Linked DNA regions of Yarrowia lipolytica. The protein of the gene in region 3 binds, or shares a complex with, the protein of the main gene of each other region. Links are inferred from orthologs where the notes say so. Each region holds a gene or a part of one and is shown on either strand. Other genes may lie near its edges.

Region 1 (3,298 bases), on a different chromosome or scaffold from region 3:
TCTTCTCTTCACCATTATCTGCTAGTACAAGTACATATTGTAGCTACAGTAAGCAGTTTATTTGGGACTACATGTTGGACCACATGCAATGTCCGATGATGTCATAATGGACATTTTTACCAGGGTGCTGTCTTATAATTATTGTACAAGTGTAAATCTCTTGTGTGCTGTCGTTTAAGTAGCAAGACTACTCTCGGTTGTACACACGTACAGTAGGCGAGTACTTGTAGAATGACCCATTATTGACGCCAACCGTTTCATAGCGCTATAGATCATGTCCATAGGCTGTAGACGTCGGAAGGTATGCGGGATAAGCCGTCTGATAACCACCGCGATCACCCTGTCGTACTCCCTGCTGCCAAGAAATCTTTCAGTATGAGTACAGTACGAGTGCGAGTAGTGTACGTCCTCAAGTGCAGTAGTTGCTGTCACCATGCTGGCAGAGGTGGTCATCTCTTTCACAGTTGAGATCAGCCTTTCAAGTGACTGGGGGACGTAGTGATATAGACAATTTTAGCTGGTCAACTTTCCATTCGTAGAGGACTGCTGCCGTAGCTTCACCTAGAGTGCTTCTGTTACAGCAGTGTCGTAAGTCCATTAAATGAGCACTTGGTCACTCAGATGTAGACTTGGTCACTCAGATGTAGATTTGGGATACTTCCGACTTGCCCTGGAAGACCGTTCGAGTATTAGACGTGTGTATCCTATGCGTTAAACGCTTGTGCAGTTCCGTGGCTTGTGTGTGGTGCTAATGTGCTGATGTGCTGTGTAGCACGAGCTATCCGTACAGTGAAATGTTCTGGCGCCCTTAAAATCACTTTTTTGTACTTCCAAACCCGCCAAAGCCCATGGCGGCCATCATTTCGTCGTCAGCTCCTTCTTCCACCTTTTCCTCTCGTTTCTGTCGCTTTCGATCCTTCTTCTTCTTCTTCTGTCGCTCAATCAACTGTTTTCTGGCACTGATCCGAGCGTTGATATCGTAGTCCAACTCCTTCTCCTGGGCGCGTTTTCGCTCCGTCAGCCACTTGAGCCGCTTCTGAACATCCTCCAGCGTCGATTGTCGGGGTCCGTCCGTCTCTCCAATCTCATACAAGTGCTGTTTACTGTTGAGATGGTCGATCCATTGAATGGAGTCTTTGTATGTGAGGTTGCACACTTCACAGTAGAAGCCAGCTCCTTTTCCTCGTCTTCCCACCGAGGCCGTGGCGGGAACCAGCTGGAGAGTGTTCAACCCTTCGTTGAAGTCGATCCGCTCAGTTCTTGCCGACATGCTTGAGGTGAAAGATGAGATGATGGGCTAAATAAAATATCCATGATATGCAGGTGGATGGGTGAACTTTATCGTAGAGTGGTCTGGATGTAAGTATTTAGTTAAAAAAAAAGGGGGTTTACTCGATTTATACTTAGGTGAAAAATATAAAACAAAGCAAACACTCATTGAATAACTACTGTAATGACAGAGAGGGGATATCAAAACAATCCAAACAACTGAAAACAGGAAGAAACCTACTGAAAGCACTACATATCAGTTATATATACAATTGAGAAACACCCATTGTCGTTTAGTCGCGTTACCTTCCCCCAGAAAGACTTGTACCATCCCAGGGTCCTGTCCTACACTACAATCTCAGTCAGTATCTCAATCTATATCTATTTACTGCTTAAGGTGAATGCCTCGGGCATGAAGAGCGTCCTTAACATTGTCGTAAACCACGTCAGGGTCCTGCTTGCAGTCGACAACCACGACTCGGTCCTGGGTCTCAAAGTAGTCGACGACAGGCATGGAAGTCTCGATGAAGGTCACGAACCGCTTTCGGATGGACTCGATGTTGTCATCGGTTCGGCCCGAGGTCTCGCCTCGCTTGAGCAGACGCTTGAGCATGACCTCCTCGGGACACTCGAAGAAGAGAGTGAACTTGGAGACGGCCACGTCCTCCTCGAACTTGAGGGCCTGGTCCATCTTTCGGGGGAAGCCATCAATGAGGAATCGGGTCTTGCCCTTGGCCACGCTCTCCTTCATGGCGTTCTTGAGCAGGCCAATGGTCACCTCCTGGGGCACAATGTCTCCCGCCTTGATGCAGTCGGCGATGAGCTTGCCGTACTGCGAGTTGGGTCGAGACTGCTCCTCTCGCAGCAGATCACCGGCAGACAGGTGCACAAAGCCGTACTCGTTGACCAGCTTCTCGCACTGGGTGCCCTTGCCGGCTCCGGGGCCTCCTAGCACAAAGATGACGGAGACCTCGTTGGGGCCAAACGCGGCCTTCTTGTACTTGGATTTGGTCTGCTGGACCATCTGGTTGTAGTCCTCCTCGGTGATCTCGGCCACCACGGGCTTCTTGTCGAGCTGCTTGGCCGCCCACATGAAGAAGGCGGTGGTGGCTCCAAAGGCAATCACCAGCTTGACAGGGGTCGGCATGGCGCCCTGGAGCAGCTCGTGGGACGCGTATTTTCGGGCCATGGGGCTGGGGCGGTTCATTCGGCCCATGGTCCGGGCCAGGTGCGAGATTCGGCTTCGGAACATGATGTTTGTGTGTGGTGGTGTCCGGGCTTGATTTGCTGTAGGAGTGAAATTTGACGGAGCTGCAGGGTGCGTGTAAACCGCCGCAGCTCTTAAGTACCGGCGGGCGACGGTCTCAGCACAGGCAGCAGAACAACGAGCAAACATGGCCGTGCGCGAAAACTGGGACTTTCCATTGGTGAACAGAGGGAAGTGGAAACAAAACGGGGGAGCACACGACTATATATATACACGCTGCCTTTCTCACAACGGCTTTTTTTTATGTTGACGTGGGAGGTCATAACCTTGACAATGGTGCGTTTGGTCAGGGGGAAGCAACATTAATAAAACTACGAGTACACTGTAGTTGTAACAGAGTCCTGGTGAAACCGATTTGTGGTCTTGTCGGACTTGTCACGTGATATACATTACTCATTACGTCAGCCCCACGGTCTCCCGGCACTACAAGTACTCCTCCTGTTCTTTGGTTCAATACCAAAAAAAAAAAAAAAAACACACACATTCCAAGCAACCGATAGAGTTGGAGCCCAAAGGATAGAGAGAGATAGACAGACGCAACCATGACCAGCCTTGGCGGTGGTGGAGATTTGTGGAAGGAACAAGTAAATGATAGAGACACAAATGGGGATGCAAATGTGTTGTTTCTTCCGTCCCATTGTCGCTCGCTCGTGTTGTTTTTCAGAAGCACCTCTTTTCCCACCCAGAGCGGCTCGTTTGTCATTGTCACTGGCTCGTCGCGTCTATCGCGTAATTTGGAGATCCATGGTTAAACACTCAAGT
Region 2 (3,390 bases), on a different chromosome or scaffold from region 3:
CGAAAAAGGAAACGACCAAAAGCAATCTCGAACTCATTGACTCGCTCTCCGTGACGCGCATCTCAACGATTATTATGACTAATTTAATGAACGCCAATAAGCCGGCTTACTAAGCATATAGCTTTAATGAATCATTAGAATTAAAACAAAAAAAAAAAAAAAAAACATTATAAAAAACGAAAACGGAAACGGAAACAAACTGAAGATTTTAGAGGAATGTAAGCACTGCTTTGAGTAGTTCCATGTCACAACAGATATTATTAATATACTAGCATTTCTGACAATCACTGTTATCGTCCCATCAGATTTGCAAAAGAATGTATAACCGAGCTATATGACTGACTTCAGAGTTCATCGTAAGGAAGTCTAGAGTCGTACTTGCTCGTTTGTAGCTGTCATTTCCATCTTTATCTTGCGCACAATGGGTATCACAGGCTCAGAGGAATAGTAAGAGCTCACGTCGGTGGTGGAGTAGTCCTGTCACTTGTACAGTGCTCCACCGTTTCGTATCAGAAGATAGTCCAATATACACGTCCATTCCCTATTATGCTAATTATATTATATACCTTTTTCCAGCCATGAGTGAGTGCGCCATTGTCCCCCATCTCATCTTTGCTCCCGGTTCTTTCTATGCCGTATCTCCAAAACTAAACACTCTGTTCGGGGCTGTTCTTGAGTGCTCTTGAGGCTGTGTAATCCTGTGTTTCGGACGTTAGTCACCGAACATGACAGTCCGCGTGGTTTCACAGTTCTGCCCAGACGTGTGTATGCGTCTACGCCCGTCCAAATCCAGGAGGAGCCTGGAACCCGGGAGGAGCTCTTCCTCCAGGCGCACTTCGCACGGGACCTCCCAATCCCGGTCCTCCAGCTCCTCTGGGACCTGTGGGGATGGCCCGGTTGATGCCCTTGGCAGACCCGGATCCGGGTGTCAGAGCGGTGTTGCCCAGTCGAGCTGTAGGATCTGTGGGAGGAGGAGCCTCGACAGACACAGAAACCACAGTCTCGCCTCGTAGAATGACCAACCCCAAAGTCCGTTTCTCCTCAGTGATGGACACGGAAGAAGCGTCGCCATTCTCGATCTGGATAGTCTTTTTTGCCTCCAGCAGCGACTTTTTCGTTGCCCGGAACTCCTCGCAGTCACTTAGAACAAGATTCATGTACCGGTCGAACGCCAGCATCTGTCCCACCATCTGCTTGCCATCCACAGTCGTCACCCGGAGCCTGTAGTTGACCAGATCGGCCATTTTTGTCTTGTTTGGTACCTGTGTTAGCAAAACGCTGGAGCTGCTCGTCCCATCGAGCGTTTTGAGATTAATCATGTAACACTTTTGGTCACGTGATGTAGATCTTCAAGTGATGTCGGTTGCCACATGATGGCTCTTTCCAATCATACTCACAATCATCTTGTGTGACGGTGTGTGTGTGTGTGTGTGTGTGTGTGTGTACAGTAGTGCAATGTCTCGTTGGTGATGCACAACTGGAGGATCAACTTTGTGTGCAGATTGTCATGCAGTAGGGTAACTGGGTATGGCGGCCGAAGTGGACAAAAAAGCGGTTGATTTTTGTGCATTAAAAAAAATGGGAATTTCGAGTTGTTTCTTGGTCCTCTTTTTTTTTTCCTTTTTTTTCCTTTTTTTATTTTTTTCTTTTGTTAATTTATTTATTTCTCCATTTCTTATTTGGTTGCTGCTGTTGAAGAAGAGGTTGGAGAGGTATACCTTTGCCTTAGTCGAACGTCCAGAGATGGAATTATTGTTGGACAATAGGGAGACCTGAAAATGTAGAAATGATGGGCTTGAGTGGGGTTTCTATTGGTGTAATTTTCATGTCTAGCGAATAGCTCGTTTGTCATCAAATCAGAGACTATGTATTGTCCCTAGTAATCGAGGTGTGATTACATAATATCAAAATAATCAGCTTGAGTAGACTACCCATTAGTGTAGTCTTAGTCAGCAAATCGGAGATTGTTTGAAAGATTATTAATGATAATCAAAAATATATGTTTTAATAAAAAATGATGATATAATGAAGAGAGACTCGCACCTTCGTTGGACTACGACTAACCTACAAGTAGCTACAAGTACTTTCCTTTCAGTATATCCCTGGTATCTCTTTGTCAAGTATCAAAATAATCCCCTCGAATCGCTTTATCCATCTCTATCCAACTGATGTTACTTGTTAGTCATCAAGCGGTGATATCACGTCAGTCATCAACGGCAACATGTTGTAGTCATTATTAATTGATTAAATATACAGTGAGCAAAGTGTTCTCTAGGCTGGTTTGTGGTTGACCATGTCGTATCTTTGACATTCAGTCACTTGTCGGACACAATTAGTTGGCCTCCTTGGTCAGCTGGTCGCCGTTGACAATCACCTTCTCCTGGGCGATCTTCTTGAGGTCTCGCTTTCCAAGGTGCTCGATGTTCTTGAGCTTGTCGCCGTTGACGATGGCGTTGACCGGGGCAGGGGCAGGGGCAGGAGCAGCAAGAGCCAGGGTGGAGAGAGCAGCAATGAGAGTGGTGGAGAGTCGCATGGTGGATGTGGCAGAAACGAACGTTGGTTGGAACTAACAAAGACGAAAGACGAAAGACGGAGACGCCTCCCCGCTTATATATATATACCGCGTCAGAGCCAGGGTTAGAGTTGAATATGAACGCTTGGCTCCTGCACGTCATCCCTTGGAGTATGTAGATGCAGGGGGAAGGCGGCGGGATCGAGGAGAGGGCCAAACGCGGGACTGGGGCTATCACGTGACGAAAGGAAGCAACGACACTGTTGCTTGTAGTTGTTAATGACGTGATCAACGACTTTTTCCCTGCTTGCCACTGCGAATAAGCGCCTCTCTGGCCCACATCCCTTGTGTTTACAATCTATTGTTAGCATTCTTCCTTTCAACTTTATCACAGAGTTGGGGCGGGAGCTAGACTCCGTTGCTGGGGGTGAAAAGACGTGTTTTTCGTGTCGCACGGACCGCGACTCGGTTTTCGCCCCGTCCAGATTGCTTAGATGCCAGCCTTTGTTTCTATATCATCCGCTAAACCCCATAGATAGCCGCAGCAAGCAGTATCTCAGCTCTTGGCACCTACGATAATGCACGTCATACTTGTAAACAATGAGCGCATAGTCCGAACACACACAGGGATAAGGTGTCAGCCAATTGAAAGTGGTAGGAGGTCCGGCGAGCCCGCGAGTGCGAGGCGGTACGACGGACAGCGAGGCGGTAGCGTGCGACGGGCGGTAGCGTGCGACGGAAGGTATGAGGCGCGTACGATACGACTGCGAGACGGTACGAGGCGCGTACGATACGACTGCGAGACAGTACCGTACCAGTACGACGGACGGCGAGACGAGAACCGTACCAGTACGTACTGGCTGACTTAGCAACTAACG
Region 3 (8,500 bases):
GGGTCTGGCCGTTAGCATCACCGAAACCATCATCCAGATGACAGTCGCCGATCTGTACTTTGTGCACCAGCGAGGCACCTTCAACGGCATCTACATGTTTGTGGTGGACGTGGGCAACTTTCTGATTCTGGTGCCCGCGGGATACATCACCGTCAACCTCGGATGGAGATGGGTCTATATCATTGTGGCTATAATTGCGGGCGGGCAGTTTCTCATGACAGTATTCTTGTTTGAGGAGACCAAGTACTTGACTAATCCTGAACAGACGTTCATCACCGAGGAGGACTCTTCTGAGGAGGACTCCTCTGAGGAAAACTGCGGCGCTGCTACAAAGTATCTTCCTCAAGAGCCGAAACTGGACAACGACGTGGAGCTGCAGATGAACCCACTGTCCAAGCGTCTGGCTCTGGTGACTTATACTCCTGCAAGATGCAAGGAGTTTGGACGAAAGATGATCATTCCGTTTGTCACGCTGATCTCATATCCCATTGTTGCATTTTCTGCCATTCAGTACGGCTTCATGCTCACGTGGCTGTCCATGGCTGCTACCACTAGTGCCAATTCTTTCGCGCTGCCACCATACAATTTCTCCTCCGCAGCTATTGGCAACGTCAACATTGCCCCCTTCGTCGGCATGATCTTCGGATCTGTCTTTGGAGGCTGGTTCAACGACAAGACCATCATATGGCTGTCCAACAGAAACAAAGGCATATACGAGCCGGAGTTTCGACTCTACAGTCTCGTATTTGCCAACTTTTCGCTCACAGTGGGCGTTTTTCTGTTTGGCACATCTCTGGCCAACCGAGTGCATTGGATGGTCCCCACAATCGGCTTTGCCATCATTATGTTCGGATTCGGATCATCAGGAGCCATAGTCGTGACCTACCTGCTCGACTGCTACGACAAGATTGTTGCTGACGCCTTCATTGGCGTGATTGTGGTCAGAAACGGACTGGCCATGGTCATCATCTTCTGTTTGGGTCCATGGGAGGAAAGGATGGGTCTTCAGAACGTGTACATTATGGCCGGCTGTTTCTCGCTCGTTCCGTTGATTCTCACAGTTCCCATGATCATCTGGGGCAAGGAGTTGAGAAGAAAAAGTGGGCCTCGCTATCTCAAGGAGTCTCTTAGGGGTCAGTGATAGATTATTGCATATATTTAGAGCAGGCTGGCACGGGTACAAGTGCTGTACAAGTGAAGTATTGGCAGTTGTGTGACGATTTAGCAAGTCTCCAATGTCGTACAAGTTCTTGAAGTCGGCAATATCACTGGAGTACCAGTCCGTGTGTGTCTATATCCAACCGCTTTAGCAACCCCAAGAAAACTGCTGGTCATTGTGGAAATGTTTCATTTCTTCACCCTCGAAGGGACTCTGAAAGTCCCCCAAACAGTTTCAAAGACTCTTCTTCATCTCCACCTGTTTTAATCAAATAAATCTGAATATTTTCAACATTCCCAGTTTTTTATCTTTTATTCCAAGTTTTTTGTCTTTTATTCCCAGATTAAATCATCCCAATATCCGCTTAGCCTGCAGCAAATTCAAAACACCTTTTTTCCAAACTCAAAAATCATTTCCAATCTACACATTCACATCGCCTGATCAGCTCTAGAGGTTGATACAAGAGTGAGTACGAGCGCGCAAAAGTGGCGCAGATGGAAGTGGCACATTGTTTGGTGGCAGAAGAACCGCCCGGCCACCACACGGCGCCAATGGAGACACCTCAGCAATGACATCAACACCGACCTACATGATATGGACATGGGCTGGATGTGGATACCGAGAGTGCGACGGTGGTTGTGTCATGCGATATAACCAGCCGAGATGCGTGAACGTGCCACGTCATCGATGGGGATATTCGATACTGAGCTGTTTCTGGTTCAGATCATGTCATGTCACATACCATGAAGAGACTCTTGACGACATGGGCACCAGACCATCAGCGTATTTACTACGTGGTTGTGTTTGCCACTCATCAAATTGCCACGTCATTAGTTGTCACACCATCGGTTTGATTCGCTTATGGGGTCCGTTCAGACCTCCTACCCTTGCTTTCGTTTACTAACACAGTGCCACCTGGACTACCACCCCCTCCAGGTCTCAGACCACCAGGGGCGCCACCAGGCTTCCCCACGGGAGCACCACCTCCTCCCGGAGCTCCACCCCCTCCCGGAGCTCCACCTCCTCCGGGAGCTCCTCCAGGTGCACCTCCTCCACCTGCTGAGGACTCACGATCGTCTCTCTTACAAGCCCGAAAGAAGCGATGGCTCAAGCTGCAGAAGCGCAAGTTTGCCGACAAGTCCGGCAAGTCGACGTTTGTGCACTCGTCCAAGGCAGATATGCCTCCGGAGCACCTGCGAAAACTCATCAAGGACCATGGAGATATGAGCTCGCGCAAGTTTGCGTCCGACAAACGAGCTTACCTCGGAGCTCTCAAGTTCATGCCCCACGGTGTGATCAAGCTGCTGGAGAATATGCCCCAGCCCTGGGAGGCCGTTCGAGAGGTGAAGGTGCTGTACCACATTTCTGGTGCCATCACTTTCGTGAACGAGATCCCCCGAGTCGTGCCTCAGGTGTACACAGCCCAATGGGCAACCATGTGGGTGATGATGCGACGAGAAAAACGAGACCGACGACACTTCAAACGAATGCGATTCCCTCCTTTTGACGACGAAGAGCCTCCGATTTCTTGGGCAGAAAACATTCAGGATGTTGAGCCCCCAGAGGGCATTTTGATGGACCTGAGTCCCGTGGATGACTCAGCAGTGGTGGATTGGTTCTACGAGCACAGACCGCTGTTCGAGGACGGACTCAAGGTCAACGGGCCCTCCTACCGGTCGTACAGACTGAGTGTTGAGCAGCTGACCACTCTCTATCGACTTGCCACTCCTCTTCTTCCCGATGTTACCGACCCCAACTACTTTTACCTGTTTGACAAAAAAGCCTTTTACACCGCCAAGGCTCTGAATATGGCAATTCCGGGAGGTCCAAAGTTTGAGCCTCTCTACAAAGACCTGGATCCCGACAATGAGGACTTTGGTGAGTTCAATGCCATCGACAGAATCATTGTGCGAAACATGATCACCACAGAACACAAGGTGGCATTCCCCCATGTGTACAACTCCATGCCTCGAAAGGTGGAACTGGTGACGTACTCGTACCCTCAGGAAGTTGTTGTCAAATCTGAGGATCCTGATCTGCCTCCTTACTACTTTGATCCCAAGTTGGCTCCGATCACGAGGTCGAAGATCGATAATAATGTGGACGTTGATCTCTCCGAAGATCTTGGACCTCTCGCACCTCCCCTGGAGTCTGTTCCTCTTGTCAACGAGCAGCTTTCATCAGCTCTGGCTCTCTACCATGCTCCCAGTCCCTTCGATCGACGTTCCGGTCCTACTGTGCGTGCTCAGGACGTGGCTCTTATCAAGGATTGGTACCTGCAGCATCCTCCCAAGGGCTACCCCATCAAGGTGCGAGTTTCCTACCAGAAGCTACTGAAGTCGTACGTGTTGACGTCTCTGACCTCTCAGTCTACAGTCACTCAAAAGAAGCGTGGATTGCTGAAGTCGTTGAGAAACACAAAGTTTTTCCAGCAGACGGAAATTGACTGGGTGGAAGCTGGTTTACAGCTTTGTCGACAGGGTTTCAACATGCTTAACCTGTTGATTCACAGAAAGGGTCTCACATACCTGCATTTGGACTACAACTTCAATTTGAAGCCTACAAAGACACTTACTACCAAGGAGCGAAAGAAGTCTCGGTTTGGAAATGCCTTCCACCTCATGCGTGAGATTCTGCGAGTGGTTAAAATCCTTGTGGACGCTCAGGTTCAATTCCGACTCGGTAATGTCGACGCCTTCCAGCTGGCCGATGGTATTTACTACACCCTGAACCACCTGGGCCAGCTCACCGGTATTTATCGATACAAGTACAAGGTGATGCACCAGATTCGAACTTGTAAGGATCTGAAGCACGTGGTTTACTACAGGTTCAACGTCGTTATCGGTAAGGGTCCTGGCTGTGGTTTCTGGCAGCCTGCCTGGCGGGTGTGGCTATTTTTCCTCCGTGGAATCATCCCCCTTCTTGAGCGGTGGCTGGGAAACCTTCTGGCGCGTCAGTTTGAGGGTCGTCACTCCAAGGGCGTTGCCAAGACTATCACCAAGCAGCGAGTCGAATCTTCCTACGATCTCGAGCTTCGAGCGTCGGTTCTCAAGGATATTCTGGACATGATTCCTGAGGGTATCAAGGAGGCCAAGACCAAGACTGTTCTGCAGCATCTATCTGAGGCCTGGCGGTGCTGGAAGGCCAACGTGCCGTGGAAGGTGCCTGGTATGCCTGCCCCCATCGAGAACATTATCTTACGTTACGTCAAAGCCAAGGCTGAGGGCTGGATGGCTGCTGCTCACTACAACCGAGAGCGAATCAACCGAGGCGCCACTGTGGACAAGACGCTTGCCAAGAAGAATCTCGGCCGTCTGACTCGTCTGTGGCTCAAGTCCGAGCAGGAGAGACAACAAAACTTCCTGCGAGACGGCCCATACTGGGACGGTAATGACGCACGGGCCATCCAGCAGATGATGGTGAACTGGCTAGAGTCACGAAACTTTTCCACCATCTCCATGCCTCCTGCCAGTTACAAGCACGACACCAAGCTGCTGGTGTTGGCGCTGGAGGGTATGAAGGAGGGCTTCAACTCCAAGGGACGTCTCAACCAGAGCCAGCGAGACGAAATGGCGTACATAGAACAGGCCTATGACAATCCTCATGAGACTCTGCGACAGGTGAAGGAGAACTTTGTGCGTAACGAGGGTTTCAAGGACGTGGGATTGGAGATGATGGATCACTACTCTCACGTGACTCCCGTGTACGACATTGACCCCACCGAGAAGATTGCTGACGCATATCTGGACCAGTATCTGTGGTATGAGGGTGACAAGAATGGCCTCTTCCCCAACTGGATCAAGCCTAGTGATTCGGAAGTGCCTCCCTTGCTCGTGTACAAGTGGTGCCAGGGCATCAACAATCTGGACAACATTTGGAAGACTGACGCTGGAGAATCGACTGTCATGCTGGAGACTTCTCTGAGCAAGATCTGGGAGAAGATTGACTTTACTTTTTTGCAGTATCTGCTCCGGTTGATCATGGACGAGAACTTGGCCAAGTACATCATTGCCAAGAACAACGTCCGGCTCACTTACAAAGACATGTCTCACACCAACAACTATGGTCTTTTGCGAGGTCTGCAGTTCTCGTCGTTTGTGGTTCAGTACTATGGTCTCGTTGCTGACTTGCTCATCCTGGGTCTCACTCGAGCGTCTCAGATGGCTGGTGATCCCAAACGGCCCAACTACTTCATGCAATACCCCTCCGTCGCTGTGGAGACGGACCATCCTATCAGAGCGTACTCTCGGTACATTGACCGAATCCACATCCTCTTCCGGTTTACTAAGGACGAGTCTTCGGATTTGGTTCATCGGTTCTTGACTGAGCACCCGGACCCCAACTTTGAAAACGTGGTTAACTTCCCTACTAAGAAGTGCTGGCCGCGTGACTCTCGAATGCGGCTCATGCGGTCCGACGTGAATCTTGCACGCGCCGCGTTTTGGGAAATTCAGAACCGACTCCCTCGAGCCATGACGTCCATTGAGTGGTCTGAGTCGTTTGTCTCTGTCTACTCCAGCGAAAACCCCAATCTGCTGTTTTCCATGTGCGGTTTTGAGGTTCGAATCCTGCCCAAGTGTCGAACTGTGGCGTCTGTGCCCGTCAAGGACTCTGTCTGGAACCTCACCAACGAGTCTACCAAGGAGCGAACTGCGTATGCTTTCTTGCGCGTCTCTGATGCCGATATTGCGCGGTTCAACAACAGAATTCGACAGATTCTCATGTCGTCTGGTTCCACCACCTTCACGAAGATTGCCAACAAGTGGAACACTGCTCTGATTTCGCTGTTCACGTATTATCGAGAGGCGGCTGTCGCCACTGAGCAGCTTCTGGACACCCTGGTCAAATGCGAGACCAAGATTCAAACTCGTGTCAAGATTGGCCTCAACTCCAAAATGCCAACTCGTTTCCCCCCTGCCGTGTTCTACACCCCCAAGGAGCTTGGTGGTCTGGGTATGTTTTCTGCTTCTCACATTCTGATCCCTGCCAGTGATCTGCGGTGGTCCAAGCAGTCTGATCAGGGCGGCATTACCCACTTCCGAGCTGGTATGACTCATGTTCACGGCGAAGACAAGATCATTCCAAATATTTTCCGGTACTTGACGACCTGGGAGGCAGAGTTCACCGACTCGCAGCGTGTGTGGGCCGAGTATGCGTCCAAACGAGCCGAGGCCAAGGCCGAGAACCGGCGTCTGTCTCTGGAGGATCTAGAGGACTCGTGGGACCGAGGTCTGCCTCGAATCAACACATTGTTCCAGAAGGACAGACATACGCTGGCCTACGATAAGGGTCACCGTGTGCGAACGGAGTTCCGACAGTTCTCCATCCCTAGAGTCAACCCCTTTTGGTGGACGTCTCAGCGTCATGACGGTAAGCTGTGGTCGCTGAATACATACAGAACAGACGTCATCCAGGCACTGGGTGGCATTGAGACGATTCTGGAACACACTCTGTTCAAGGGTACCGGTTTCGACAACTGGGAAGGTCTCTTCTGGGAGAAGGCCGCTGGCTTCGAGGACCAACTCAAGCTCAAGAAGCTGACCAACGCCCAGCGGTCTGGTCTCAACCAGATTCCCAATCGACGCTTCACTCTCTGGTGGTCTCCTACCATCAACCGAGCCAATGTCTACGTTGGTTTCCTGGTACAGCTGGATCTCACGGGTATCTTTTTGCATGGTAAAATCCCCACGCTCAAGATTTCGCTGATTCAGATTTTCCGGGCCCATTTGTGGCAGAAAATCCACGAGTCGGTGGTGCTTGATATCTGTCAGGTGCTTGATCGAGAGCTGGAGACGCTGCAGATTAGTGAGACTCGAAAGGAACAAATTCATCCTCGAAAGTCGTACAAGATGAACTCTTCGTGTGCTGATATTGTGCTCAAGTCGGCCTACAAGTGGAACGTTTGCAAGCCTTCATTGTTGAACGATTCGTCCGACTCCATGGATTTCGCTCAAACGTCCGAGTTCTGGCTGGACGTGCAGCTTCGATACGGAGACTACGACTCGCACGATATCAGTCGGTACACTCGAGCCAAGTTTCTGGAGTACACCACCGACGGAGTGTCTGTCTACCCCTCGCCTGTTGGAGCCATGGTTGGCATTGATCTTGCGTACAACATGTACGACGCCTATGGCAACTGGTTCCCCGGTCTGAAACAGCTCATGCGTCCTGCCATGTCCAAAATCATGCAGGCCAACCCTGCATTGTTTGTGCTGCGAGAACGAATCCGAAAGGGCCTGCAGCTGTATCAGTCGCAGCCGCAGGAAGCGTTCCTCAACTCGCAAAACTACCAGGAGTTATTCAACAACGAGGTGCAGTTCTTCGTGGACGATTCGAACGTCTACCGAGCCGCTGCTCATACCACTTTTGAGGGCAACTTTACCAACAAGCCTCTTAACGGTGCTGTGTTCATTTTGAACCCCAAGACCGGTCAGCTGTTCCTCAAGGTGGTTCACACGTCCACTTGGGCCGGTCAGAAGCGTCTGTCTCAGCTGGCCAAATGGAAGGCGGCCGAAGAGGTGGCTGCTCTGATCCGATCTCTTCCAAAGGAAGAGCAGCCCAAACAGGTGATTGTCACTCGAAAGAGTATTGTTGAGCCGCTGAAGCAGCAGCTGTTTGAGTTCCCCAACACGGTCATCCGGCCGTCGGAGCTCCAGCTGCCGTTCAAGTCTGCTCTGCAGGTGGAGAAGCTCGGAGATCTGATTCTCAAAGCAACTGAGTCGCAGATGGTTATTTTCAATCTCTTTGACGATTGGCTCAAGTCAATTTCCAGTTACACTGCCTTTGCTCGTCTGGTTCTCATTTTGCGAGGTATGCATGTCAACCATGAGAAGACAAAGATCATTCTGCGTCCCGATCACACGGTTGTGACTCTTGACCATCACATGTGGCCTTCCTTCTCAGAAGATCAGTGGGTGCACGTGGAGAATCAGCTGCGAGACATGATTCTCAACGACTACGGCAAGAAGAACAATGTGAACATCCAGTCGCTGACTCAGCACGAGATTCGAGATATTATTCTGGGCCAGGAGATCAAAGCACCTTCTCAAAAGCGTCAGGAGCTGCAGGACATTGAGGAGAACAAGACAGACTCTCAGGTGACTGCACTAAAGACCAAGTCTCAAAACGTGCATGGAGACGAAATGGTGGTGGTAACCACGTCCAACTACGAGCAGCAGGTGTTTCAGAGCAAGACTGAGTGGCGGTCTCGAGCTCTCAGTACCGCCAACCTACATCTTCGAGCTGAGAAAGTGTTTGTGGAGTACTCTGAGTCCGACGACCAGGGTTACACTTATGTGTTCCCCAAGAACGTGTTGCAGAAGTTCATTCAGATCGCCGATG
Region 4 (4,080 bases), on a different chromosome or scaffold from region 3:
TGTTACTTATAGACATAAGGCAACAGGGAGGCTTTGTCACATTCACGTTTCAAAACAGATCCGTCAATGAACTTGGGTGATTACCAAATTGCTTCGATACTGGTCTTGTCTAGAATCATCTCTGTGATTCATTGTCCGTTCCCGTTCAGGAAATTTTTGACCTTCCATGCATGGATTCTATTGACATGTCCAATTGGGGAAAACAGATATGGCATCTTCAAGAGATCTGAAAGGAGGGGGATTAAAAAAAGAAAAAGAATGAAATCTTTTAGATCAATCTAGCTTGTGCTCTTAACCAAGCTCCTCATTTGGTTTTGTATGCCTTTTTGTCATGTCTGTCAGAACACATCCTTGCAACGAGTTGACATTGTCAACCCGAATATGGTGTAATCAGACGGACAGTAAGTCAAAAAGAAGAGCTGACACAATCCGAAAATGTATTGTGTGCCCCGGCAGTTCTACTTGTATGAGTCTTGCTACCCTCTTGTCTACAGATCTGGTTTACTGCAATCCCACGGCTTGTAGCTCTACATTGCAAGACAGAACAATACAATGCTACCCGGCGAGACTCTGACTAACCATTTCACAAAACAGACAACAAAATGCAAAAAATACAATGATTAATAATTTAATGGGTGGAAGCAGCTTCTCTCTAGCAATCAACACACGACCCATGATGCAGAGCACAGGACAGGAGGTTACTTACTCAGAGGCTTCCTTCTGTTCAACCTCAGCATTCTGGTCAGTCTCGGAATTGCCATCAACCCCAGCCTCCTCCAGGACTGTCCCCTTGACATCCCTTCCTCGCGGTTCGTTGACTCGGTTCCCCCGATCCTCCATATCCACAACAGTCAACAAAGCCTTTCTCACACAACTCTCGTAGCCCTCAGCAAAGGTCAATAGCCGTTTAATGCACACAAGCCACTGCCTCGTATCATCATTGACAATGTGTGCCACCTGCTTCGAGTTTCGGGCTGAAGCAATAGTCTTGTTCTGAGACGCTCTAGCGTGAATGCCAATGGAAGCCACTCCAACGGGCCAACAGGCGTTTCCAATGCACAATTTAAGATAGACATCATAGGCCTGGTGGTGTTCCTCATGTTGCACATGGTACATGACCTTTGAAAGCATAGCCAGAACTTCGTCTTGGAGACCATTGTGTCGTAATAAGACCATGAGAGAAGATAGAGAGGTCTGCGTTTCTTCGAAGATAGTGTGTCGCTTGTAAGCGTTTGCTGCCTCGGAGACCTCTTCGGCCGCTCCACTGGCCTGGGCTGCAGCTCCCTTATCCAAAGTACCCTCCCATTCACTCAATAACCGTGCCAGAAACACTCTCAGCTGCATGGCGAGCTTTTTCTTGGTCTCCGAATCCCTTGTGGCATCCTTCTTTGTGGCTACGTCACTCCAGTCGATTCGCACGTTTGTTCTCGCGTCATTGGCAGCCATTTCTTCCACTGTCTCTATTGGTTCCGATGTTGCCACATCATGCTCTGTCGATACGGTAGATGTTGTGGAAGCTGGTGCTTTGGCCAAAGATTCCTGCTTGGCTCTCTTGGCCTCTTCTCGCTCAAGTCGCTCTTCTTCCCGGTCAAGTTCTCTCTGTCGCTTCATCTGCTTCAGCCGTTCCAGGCGCTTGAGGTCGTCTGAGTTGTCGGAAACTGTCGTCTGGGCGGGCTTGGGAGCCGCTGCCTTACAGCCGTAGTCTGCCACTCCCGTTCCAGCTTTCTTCTTGGAGATTTCGCCCTGAATCAGTGCTGCAAAATCCATTTTTGTGTGTTGTGAATGAAGTAGCGTTTTTTTGCGATGCTGCACATACATCTATGCAGCTGCAGAACACATTTTGTGCCAACCTTAAAAACAGCGTTCTTCTTTTTTTCCTCTGCCAACTTTATCGAGGCACGACCATGACCAGATATGGAGAGGTAGGCGACACCACCAAGTCGCCTTGAAAATGAGAAATCGAGGCAGTTGCTTAGTCAGAAAACCTTTTTCCGATACAAACATGCAATTTTCACACTCTTGGAAGACTCCATACTATCCTTGTAACGCTCTTGCCCACGTCTCGTTGCTTTAGTCCGAACTTCTCCTCACACTCAACCAATGGGATTTTTTCAGTTCATATTAAGTAACTTTCAACAAGGACAATAGAACTAGTTAGTTTTAAGCGCAAGTAACTCTGACCTTCACTCGAAATATGCCGTCCAGAAACAACATCTTGTAGCTCTGAATCTCTTCTCGAGGCCACTACCTAAGATACATCGATGAACTCGACCTTGTGTACATGTATTCTTACATACGTCTCTTCTACACTCACTGACAGACCGCTCATATTCCCCTCAACTCTTCCTCGGAAAGTTACTTTGATTGCAGTTCGGTCTAACGGCGGTGAACTCTGCTGCGCAGGTATAGGTGAGCTGTGTGTCTCAGGGTGCCTGAACCCGAGACTTCTGGGTTAGATCAAAGGCAAAAAGGTGAGCTGACCTCTATTGCTAGCGGATCAACAGTTATGAGAACGCCCAATGTGATTGCCGACCCTCGGCTGATTGTATTGATCGACAAAGCAGCACATGCGGGAAGAAACGGAACCATGAAGGTGGAGATCCGGTGCAGATGTGCGCGCGAGAGATACGGAGAGGGTTATGGGGTCAAATTCAATTGAATTGCACATTTGTGATCATTCTGCTGCCCAATTGCGTGTGTACTATTGCTAATATTCCAGAATACAGTACATACTCGTGCGTACAGTGGGAACTTGGACAATCCACCCCAAACATCATAATATGTCTCAATTTCAACATATTTCGTCGATATCATTGATTGCGAGTGGCACAGAGACATGCGCAGAGTCATGCTTAGCATACATATCCCTTTCTTATACCAAAAATCCCCCTTCAAAGGGTCTAAAATTGACACCAACTTTTGCGATCACGTGACTAATCTGTCTTCTCAAAACAGTCTAACGGTTTTTGGTCCTAACGGTTGCGGCCATATCCTGGTGAAAATACGGCTTCCCGTCCGATCAGCCATAGTCAAGCACCAGAGAGCCTAGTTAGTATTGTAGTGGGAGACCATACGAGAATCCTGGGTGCTGCAATCTCTGTTTTTTGCAGCTTACTAAGGTGGCGACAATGTAAGTTTTTTTGCTTAGTAATAATGCTTTGCATTAATGCTTAGTAACAATGGGGTATTGGAGCCTTCCGAAGTCCTTCCTCAACCTTCGTTACTGGCCAAGCTGATTAATATCCTCTTTAATACTCGTATTATAGCACACAAAGAGGACCCAAACTGGTGTCAAGATGGGGCTTTTGTTTGAATCGACTTGAACAGAACTCGAACTTGGAGCATCTCATACTTCAACTAACTTTCCAACTGTTATTCCTCTCGTTTGACAGCTCTATAGTTGACCATCGAGAGCAACCCAAACTGTCACCACGACCACACAATTGGGGCATGCAATGACCATTAAAACTGAAAAAAGGTAGTCTAGCAAATATATACCAGTAATTCGAGAAGAATATCTCGGAAAAACTATACCCGCAACTCTTCAATCACCCATCATTAGGTACATGTCCATACATTACCTACGGTACCATATTTAAACTTCACCAAGAAAGTTCATATATGCAGAACCTCAGCACTTTGGCGGTTTCGCTGATCGAGATAGATACATTTCCATCATCGTTTCCTCACGACATTCGCACAGACAAGATGAACGTGAAATCTGAGGTCAAGCCCGAAGAGGAAGATGTTAAGATTCCTCCTCCTCCTGTTGATGCCGACGATGGATCTTTCGACCTGGATACTGCGGGACTCGAAAACCGGGTATGGTTGGTGCGACTGCCCAAGTTTTTGGTGGACAAGTGGAGCCATCTGGATGAACACACTAACAAGCGACTCGGCCAGGTGCTGATCAAGGAAAACACAGCTCCCGGCGAGAAACAAAAGGTGTCTTTGCGCCTAAGTGATACGCCCGAAAACAGTGAGATTCCACATGAGTATGAGTTGGATATCGTCAAGGAGGTGGTCAACAACACGTTTGTGTTCACGGAGAAGGAGCAGAAGAAGGAAAAGGAAAAAGAA

Evidence for each region.
Region 1: YALI1_C15021g (region 3) and YALI1_F12983g share a complex: the UniProt entries of both Saccharomyces cerevisiae proteins name them as parts of the U4/U6-U5 tri-snRNP complex. The link is inferred for Yarrowia lipolytica from reciprocal best matches to the Saccharomyces cerevisiae genes PRP8 and SNU23.
Region 2: YALI1_C15021g (region 3) and YALI1_D17410g share a complex: the UniProt entries of both Saccharomyces cerevisiae proteins name them as parts of the U4/U6-U5 tri-snRNP complex. The link is inferred for Yarrowia lipolytica from reciprocal best matches to the Saccharomyces cerevisiae genes PRP8 and SMB1.
Region 4: YALI1_C15021g (region 3) and YALI1_F21279g share a complex: the UniProt entries of both Saccharomyces cerevisiae proteins name them as parts of the U4/U6-U5 tri-snRNP complex. The link is inferred for Yarrowia lipolytica from reciprocal best matches to the Saccharomyces cerevisiae genes PRP8 and PRP18.

The regions. Positions count from the first base shown.
Region 1 is NC_090775.1:1,296,349-1,299,646, reverse strand, and holds YALI1_F12983g (uncharacterized protein), read right to left. Parts: upstream 1,271-3,298; coding exon 815-1,270; downstream 1-814. Other genes in the region: YALI1_F12969g (uncharacterized protein), read right to left, coding at 1,655-2,665. UniProt on the Saccharomyces cerevisiae protein: Participates in pre-mRNA splicing. Part of the U4/U5/U6 tri-snRNP complex, one of the building blocks of the spliceosome.
Region 2 is NC_090773.1:1,738,972-1,742,361, reverse strand, and holds YALI1_D17410g (uncharacterized protein), read right to left. Parts: upstream 1,320-3,390; coding exon 774-1,319; downstream 1-773. UniProt on the Saccharomyces cerevisiae protein: Plays a role in pre-mRNA splicing as a core component of the spliceosomal U1, U2, U4 and U5 small nuclear ribonucleoproteins (snRNPs), the building blocks of the spliceosome.
Region 3 is NC_090772.1:1,495,968-1,504,467, reverse strand, and holds the start of YALI1_C15021g (uncharacterized protein), read left to right. Parts: upstream 1-2,337; coding exon 2,338-8,500. Other genes in the region: YALI1_C15048g (uncharacterized protein), read left to right, coding at 1-1,141. UniProt on the Saccharomyces cerevisiae protein: Functions as a scaffold that mediates the ordered assembly of spliceosomal proteins and snRNAs. Required for association of BRR2 with the spliceosomal U5 snRNP, and the subsequent assembly of the U4/U6-U5 tri-snRNP complex.
Region 4 is NC_090775.1:2,125,644-2,129,723, reverse strand, and holds YALI1_F21279g (uncharacterized protein), read right to left. Parts: upstream 1,819-4,080; coding exon 703-1,818; downstream 1-702. Other genes in the region: YALI1_F21261g (uncharacterized protein), read left to right, coding at 3,622-4,080. UniProt on the Saccharomyces cerevisiae protein: Component of the U4/U5/U6 snRNP, binding principally to the u5 snRNP. It is not absolutely required for the second step of pre-mRNA splicing at low temperatures but is required at higher temperatures.